Struthio camelus: one gene and its partner. The protein of the gene in region 2 interacts with the protein of the main gene of each other region in a pairwise test. Links are inferred from orthologs where the notes say so. Each region holds a gene or a part of one and is shown on either strand. Other genes may lie near its edges.

Region 1 (3,743 bases), about 75 Mb from region 2:
ATTAAAAACCTTGACTGTAACCAGCTAGTGAAGAGATACCACACAAGCCCTTGAAAGGTCACCCTGCTTCCCCAGACACTTCCAGGGTCAAATCAGGTCACTGATAGAAATCTAGAGTCTCATGTATCTTAGTTCATTACTAAAAAAAAAAAAAATCTCTCCGATCATATATTGCTAAAGAAATTGAGGCTAGCAGCTCTCTTGTAAGTTTTAGAACCAAATTTTTTTTTTTTTTTGAGTAAAATGATAACTTTGTCAAGTTTGCAGTAGAACTTCCGTGGTTTAACGGGCCCAGTTGTCAAAGAAGGGAATTTTCAGAGTATTGATATTGATTCACTTCCCACAATCACCCACAAAGTGATTTTCTTCTTACAGTGAATTAGACTCTTTAGCTGATGTGAACTGCCCAGTCCGGAGTTTGCTTTTCCTAATATGCAATAGTAAGAAAAAGATGTTGTTAAAATGAAAAACTGCTAAGCTGACCTATTCCAATCTTTAGGTCCTTTATACAAGTTAAAAAATTTACACCTTTTAAAATGTTAATTGATTAACAGAAAGAGACTCTGTTTCTTCAAAATATGTTAGAAGAATTAGTAGAAGCATAAATAACAAAAGAAATCAGAGCAGGCGGAATTCTTTCACAATATAACATAAAAACCTACTGTTCATTGCTTTCCCATGGATACTTTCACATGGAAAAGTCCACATATTTTGATTTTTCTTCATTTAGATTATTTCCTTTTCTTACAATATGTGTATGATACAGAAACAAATTCTTAACACAATTTCATAGACAGCAAAAAGAAAAAACCCCTACAAAAAAACCTTTACTTTCAAAAACTAGATTACTTATTACAAAATTATACCAGTATTTAAACAACCAAGCAACAACTAATCTTCATAATTCAGAAACACAGAGATGGAAAAAATACCAACTACTGAGACAACCAGAACCCCCACATATATATAAAAAAAAAAAAACCACATACATACGAATCCCCCAAATACACATTAAAAAGACAACAACAAACCCAGAAGAACTGGTGCTAACTAAACAGAACAGCAATGATGACTTATGAACGATTTGCTCACTTCTGTAGCTCAAAACTCCGTGCAAAACATCTTTTTTTTTCCTCCTCAGATCAACATTTTGAAAGGAGGAAGCAACATACTCATTCCTGCAGCAGGAGGAGCACAAACAGCTGCTGCTGGCTTAACACTAGCCCCGTTTTAGCACCAGAAACTTATGAAGGAGGAGGAATGTCAAACCTCTGCCTCTATACAAGTGCACACACACACACTCACACAGAGAAGCCAAATTCACTACACTCAAAAGTCTGAATTACATCCGCCTGCAGGAAAAAAAAATACTAACACATTAGGGACACATAAAACAATTAGTTGTATATCAGAAAGTGTGTATTACATACTAAGTTAAATACACAGAAAGAAAAATATTTTTAGTGCAGATCACTGAGGTATGATGACACATCTGTAACAGTAATAACAAACCTAAGCAGAGTGTAAACGTTTCTTTGGGAGCCCACAACCTAACACCACTGTGTACCTTAACTAGACTTAAACTAACTGTACCCTAACTGAACTAAACGGGAGAAATCGTTACTCGAGTCCAGGTCAACACGCTGGGGGCCAGAGTATGAACAGCCCCAATTCAGAATACACAGCCCCATGCTGGAAGCATAACCGCTGCGCTGAGGGAAAACAGCGGCCTAAGGGGGCTCCTACCCACGCGGGAAGGTTACACCCCCACCACCACCAACAACGGCCACGCACGGACTGCAGACACGCGCCCTTACCTCCCCGCCCCCCCCCGGCACCAAGGGGCACACAAGCCCCCTCCTCCCCTACCACACCCCACACACCCCCACCCCGCACCACTCACGCACCCACGGACACCCCGACACCCGCGCGCGAGTCCCGCCCGTTACAACACCTCCCCCCCCTTCTTTCGCCCCCCACAGCCGTTACCCCGCCGCCGGGGGCACCCCGCCCCCCGCCTCCAACGGCTGCTCCCCCCGCCGCGGCGCGCGCGCCCCCGTCGCTCCCCCCCCCCCCACCTTCCGTCGCCCGCCGCTCCTCCTCGGCCCCCTCGGCGTTTCCCGCTCCTGCCTCGGCCATGGCGGGCTGCCCGTGCCCCGCTCCACAGCGCCCCCGCCACCATGCAGGAGGTAAACTAAGGTGAGCAGAAACCGCCCGTCCTGCCCCCCTGCTCGGCGCGGGGTTGGGGTTGGGGGGGAAAGGGGGAGGGGAGGAGAAGGTCCGCAAGCGCCTCCACAGGCTCCCTCCCCTCCTCCCGTCACCGGCGCCGCCTCAGCAGCGCCCCCGCCGGCGCCATACCCTCCCCCCGCCCCGCCCCGCCCCGCCCCAGCCCTGCCCTGCCCGGCAGGACACTTCTCGCGAGACTTCCGGCCGGGCGGAGGCGGGAGGGGGAGGTGCTGCCGCCCGGCGCGCGCAGGGTGCGGGGGGAGGGGACCAACGGCCGCTGGGGCCTCCCCCCCGCCACAGGAGGGGCCGGGAAGGAACAACGGGTGAAGGCGGTTGGCCGCCTGCGGCCTTCTGGGCGTGCGGCTGCCCCTCAGAGCGGGGCACAGAACAGGCAGGCGCACGAGTACGCGCTGACACACAAAAATAGAGTTAGCTTTGACTAACAGGTGAAACTGGGTGAATGGACCTGGGTTCCAGTAGATGCTCGGGGTGTAGTTGTGTGTTCAGCTTATCGGGAGCGCGCTTTTGAAGCGAATCTGCCCGTCGTCCTCGCCGTGGTTTGGTTCACATCCTGGAGTGGTCTGGGAGCACGCGAACCATATTCTTTTTGCGTGAAACCTAAAGAAGCGCTGTTAAGAGCTCACTTAACGTGGCCCAACTGCTAACGGGCTCTCGCTCCCTGGGACCTCACTGGAGCTAGTCTGAAATACAGCCTCTAGGACACCTGCAGCGCGGACGTTGGGACCTCAGCAACACGGGGATTCACTTGACAGAACCGCTCTTACTGAGGAGCCCAACGTGTTGATGTTGATGTAGCCTCTACCCGCCCAGTTCCAGGTCTGTGTGCGGCAGAACAGACTGTTGCCAAGGCCTCAGACTTCCTCGCCTGAGCCATCTGAATGGGCTGAGCACGTGCCTGCTGCTACCTGTTGAACTCCCATGTGAGGGAATTTGCATGTACAGTGCAGCTGGTGTTGCTCATCAGCAGTAAGGCCGGAACCAGATGATCGGGGACCTATGTGAAGGAAGCTGCTTCTCCAGGTGTACTGTACAGTGGACTTGCAGAGCTCGCGCCTATTATTAGTCGTAGGGGTTCTTTTCGACTTAACAAGATGTGCTAATAAAGATGGAACAGCAGGCTCACTGACTTCATGCCTAAATAAAGGGTGCACGTAGATTACCCTGCAGATGCATGTGTTAACCTAGGACTTAGTCACTGAAGGCTAGTTCCATTGAATGCTTCTCTTTTACAATTCAGTATCTCAAGGGTTGCAAAGAATATGGCATTCTTTCATCATCTGTCCTATTGGTTAATATCTAAACTGTTGAAGTTTATATCTTTCAGCTACAGAGCAAGTGGTTGGTTTATTCGGGTCTGGAAACAACAAAATTACTCTTACTATAAGAAGAAAAACATCCTTTCCTGAAAGTGAAAAGAAAAATGTGCAAAGTACACCAAAAAGGTTGGATTACTTTTAATCAAAGGAAGACTATTATTTACATAAGGATTTTCATAA
Region 2 (3,743 bases):
GGGGACGCTGGGTGTCACCGCAGGATAACTGGGGTAGCTGCAAAGGCCATATAGCTGTGCAAAGCCGCGAGGCTCTTTTCTGGAGCCAGGTGGCTGGAGCAACCTTCAACCCACACACTGCGCCCACACAGGCAGACTTGGTGTGGGCAGAGAGGTCTCTGCTGGCTATTATTTTACATGGCTTAACGTGTCTCTGATAACGAGGCAGAACAGAGCAAAGGAGAAGGGAAACAGCTCCCACCACACCAACTCTGCTGCCACAGGTATAGCAGGACCTGCTGGTGGAGACACAGCTGGCACCAGCCTACGGGGCTTTTCCTCACTGCTCTCAACAACAGAAACGGCTACCCTAAAAAGCAAATACCTCGTGCTAGCAGGCCAACCCTTTGGCAGGTGCAAGAAGTACCTACTCCAGGCCTTTCTCCAGCAGAGCAATGGGTTTTTTTGGCCGTGCAGACACAGAGCAGAGCCGGGAGCCCCGGGTGTGGCGGGGGCTGCGGGGCAAGGGGTGAAGCCCGGGCTCCCTGCAGAGCCGGCCGTGGTGGCAGGGCTCCCGGCCCCGGCTCCTGCTGCTGTCGGCAGGTGCCGGAGCAGCGGGTCTCGGCACACACCAGGGAAATGAGGGGGGCAGTGCCGTGTCCCCACGCCGCTGCCACTGCTGCCCTCCTGTCCCGGGGGGCAGCCCCTCGGCCTTGCTCGCTGCCCCAGGCAGAAGACAGCAGGACTGACTGCCCAGCGGGGAGAAAGCGAGCCCCAAAATAAACGGCCCCTCCTAGGCTCCAGCATATTTCCTTATCTCACACTGGCTACGTTTCAGGAGGAGTATTAGGCAAAAATAATGCAAAGTGGGGAATAAAAAGAATGACCTACTTTGGGGGGAGAAAAAAAAAAAAAAAGCAGCTCTCTGTCAAGGTTTTGCTCTAATTGCCGGTACGGCGTTGCATAACCAAATCGGGAATTACTGCCCCGTGCCCGGCGAGGCGGAGAGCCTGCCCCGGGGCAGCGCCGTGCTGCGGGGCCCGGCCCGGCCCGGCTGGGCTCCCGCGGCCACCCACGGGCACGGAGCCGGGGCCGCCCCCCGGTCACCCCTCCGCCGGCCGGGGCTGCCTGCCCCTGCCCGGGGGCGAGCGGCTGGGGCGGGGGGAGTGGGTGTCCGCAGTCCGCCAGGCGAAGCCGTGCCAGCCGGGGCGGGCTGTGCCGAGCCGAGCCGAGCCGGGCCGGGCCGGGCCGGCAGCCCCGGGCAGCAGAGCACCTGGGCGCAGCCCTGCCCGGCGGGGACGGCGGCACCGTGGGCGGCTGGCGTGGAGGCGCCTCCTGGGGTCAGGCTATAGGGGCGGCCGCCGGTGACCGCCGGGTTATAGCTATAGACATACGTAAATGCAGGCACGCCGGGCTTTGCTCGAGGCGTTGCGAAACCATCCTTGATTTCGGGCTGGGTTTTTGGTTGATTTTTTTTTTTTTCCCCTGCTTCCCCTTTCGTTCTCTTTCCAGCTTCTCCTTTTCTTGGATCTTCGCCTGTCTCCTCCCACAGAACGAGAGAGAGAGAGAGAGAGAGAGAGAGAAAAAAAAAAGGTCACGTATGTTTGGAAAAATATGTAGGTCAGTGGAACATTCCCTGCACTTGTGCAAACGGAGACGGGGAGGGAGAGCTCCTCTGCAGCCCTTTCGCTACCCACCTCCCCAGCCCGTCCCTCCCCAAAGCCCGCCGCTCTCCAAAGAGGGGAGGGGGCACGCAATCCGCAGCTCCCCTTTTCCCCCCTCCCTGACCCATTTTGCACACAAGCGTCGGGTTTGGGCTCCCCCCCCCACCCCTTTCCTTCCCTGGTAGAGAGGAAGCCGGCGCGGGCGAGCACGGCCCTTGCGCGCCGCCGCCAGCCCCCGCGGCCGCGGCTCCCCATGGGCGCGGGGCGTGGGGCGCGCCCCCCCAGCGCCGCCGGCTGAGGGTGCGGGGCGGCAGCCCGCCGGCGACGACGACGACGACGACGAGGAGGAGGAGGAGGACGGCGATGAAGGACCCGCGGAGAGGATGCCCCCGCCTCGCCCGCGGGGCTCCAACTTTGCGGAGAACTATCGGCCCCGCAGTCCCCGCGCCCGCCCTGCCCCTCCCGGCCGCGCATTTAACTTAATGCACCAGCGGGAGCCCGAGCCAGCAGCCCCCCTGGTCCCCCCCGGCCTCCTCCCCCTCCTCCTCCTCCTCCTCCTCCCCCCCCCTCGGCAGCAGCCCGGGCTCCCGGCGGCCTCCCGCTGCCGGCGGAGCCCCTGGCCCCGGCGCGCGTGGGTCCCGCGGCGCCCGGGCAGGCGGCAGCGCGGCATGCGGCGGCCCCGCGCACCATGAGACACGGCACCGGCACCGGCGGCAGGCAGGCGGCGGCGGGCAGCGTCCCCGGCTCGTCGGCTGCGAGGAAGAGTTTGCCGGCTCCCGAGGCCGGCCTGCCGAGCGGCTGGAGCAGCAGCGGCGGCCGCTGCCGCAGCGGTACCGGCAGGCACCGGAAAAGCGGCGGCACCGGCGGCTCCCGCGCCCAGGTGGCCACCGCGGACAGCAGCAGCAGCGGCGGCGGCGGCGGCGGTTGGGGCTTCCCCGCCGCCCTCCCGCAGCCCCGGCACCCCAGGTAACGCGCGGCCCTGCCGCCGGCACCGACCCCCCCCCCCGCCGCGTCCACCCGCGGCGCCCACGCAGGACGCCCACGCGCCGCGCTCGCACCCCCCCCACCTCCCGCGCTCTTCCCGGGCTCCGTGAGTAAGGGCCGGCCCCGCGGCGCCCCTCTTCGCGGCAGGGTGGTTTGGGGTCGGCGCCGCTCCCCGCGCGGGGGGAGAGGGGGGAGCAGCGTGTCCGGCGGCGCGGGCGGCATCGCTTCCGCCGCGGGAAAGTTTCCGCGTGGCCCGCGCTGGGGGCAGCCGGTCCCTGCGGGGACGGGCCCATGCGGCCTGGCCCGGCCGCCAGCGAGACCTGGTGCAGAGCAGGCTTGGCCCATCAGTCTGAGCGAAATAAAATGCCCCCCGCCCCCATCTCGTTTTGGTGTAGTTTGCAATTTGCTGCCGCCATAGGCTCGTTCAGGCTAGACCGGCGCAGGGGCTGAGAAGGGACCTGGCACGGTTCAGGCGAGGAAAACTTCCAGTAAGAGCAATGGGATTTTTGCATGGGTGAAGGTTCGTGGTGGGGACCAGAGGTTGTGTCCTTTGCTGCAGGAGCCCTGCTGCTGAAACCGTGTGCCAGGCTCCTGCTTGCTTTCCTTTCGTGCGCAGAACTGGGGGGGGAGAAATGTTAAATACACGGCCGAGCGGCAACACGGCACGTCTTTCATGCGGAGTTGTGCGGTGAGGCTTTCCTGTATGGTCGCTAGTCTGATTTGGCAATTAGCAAGCACGCTCATCCGTAAACTTTACTGGGTACTCCTTAACTGTCTGCAGGATAGCAGTTTACTTTCACTCAAGTGACTCAGAAATAATTAGCGGTTATAAGCATTGCAGCCAGCAGAGGAACTTTAATCTTTTCATGGTGCTAAATCTCCAGAAGGGCTATGGGATTCCCCCGGAGGAGCATGGCTAACGTGAGCTTTCGGCGCACGCTCAACAAGTGGCTGGATCCTGAAGTGGAAAATTCTCTCGCTCTTACCCCTGCGTGAAATGTTAATTTGTACCCCACCGTGGTTGGAGTTTGTTTGGTGGTACTAAATAATCAGCGTTCACAGTTTCTGGACGGAGCCGGTTCATCCGCTGATCCGTATCTGGTTCTGAAAGCTGTC

The links. The genes of interacting proteins can lie anywhere in the genome.
Region 1: the proteins of NPAS2 (region 2) and BMAL2 interact in binary tests that used the Homo sapiens proteins (3 or more experiments, as listed by UniProt). The link is inferred for Struthio camelus from reciprocal best matches to the Homo sapiens genes NPAS2 and BMAL2.

Annotation. Positions count from the first base shown.
Region 1 is NC_090942.1:77,266,525-77,270,267, reverse strand, and holds the start of BMAL2 (basic helix-loop-helix ARNT-like protein 2), read right to left. Parts: upstream 2,340-3,743; 5' UTR 2,140-2,339; coding exon 2,079-2,139; intron 1-2,078. UniProt on the Homo sapiens protein: Transcriptional activator which forms a core component of the circadian clock.
Region 2 is NC_090942.1:152,097,684-152,101,426, forward strand, and holds the start of NPAS2 (neuronal PAS domain-containing protein 2), read left to right. Parts: upstream 1-1,195; 5' UTR 1,196-2,331; coding exon 2,332-2,609; intron 2,610-3,743. UniProt on the Homo sapiens protein: Transcriptional activator which forms a core component of the circadian clock.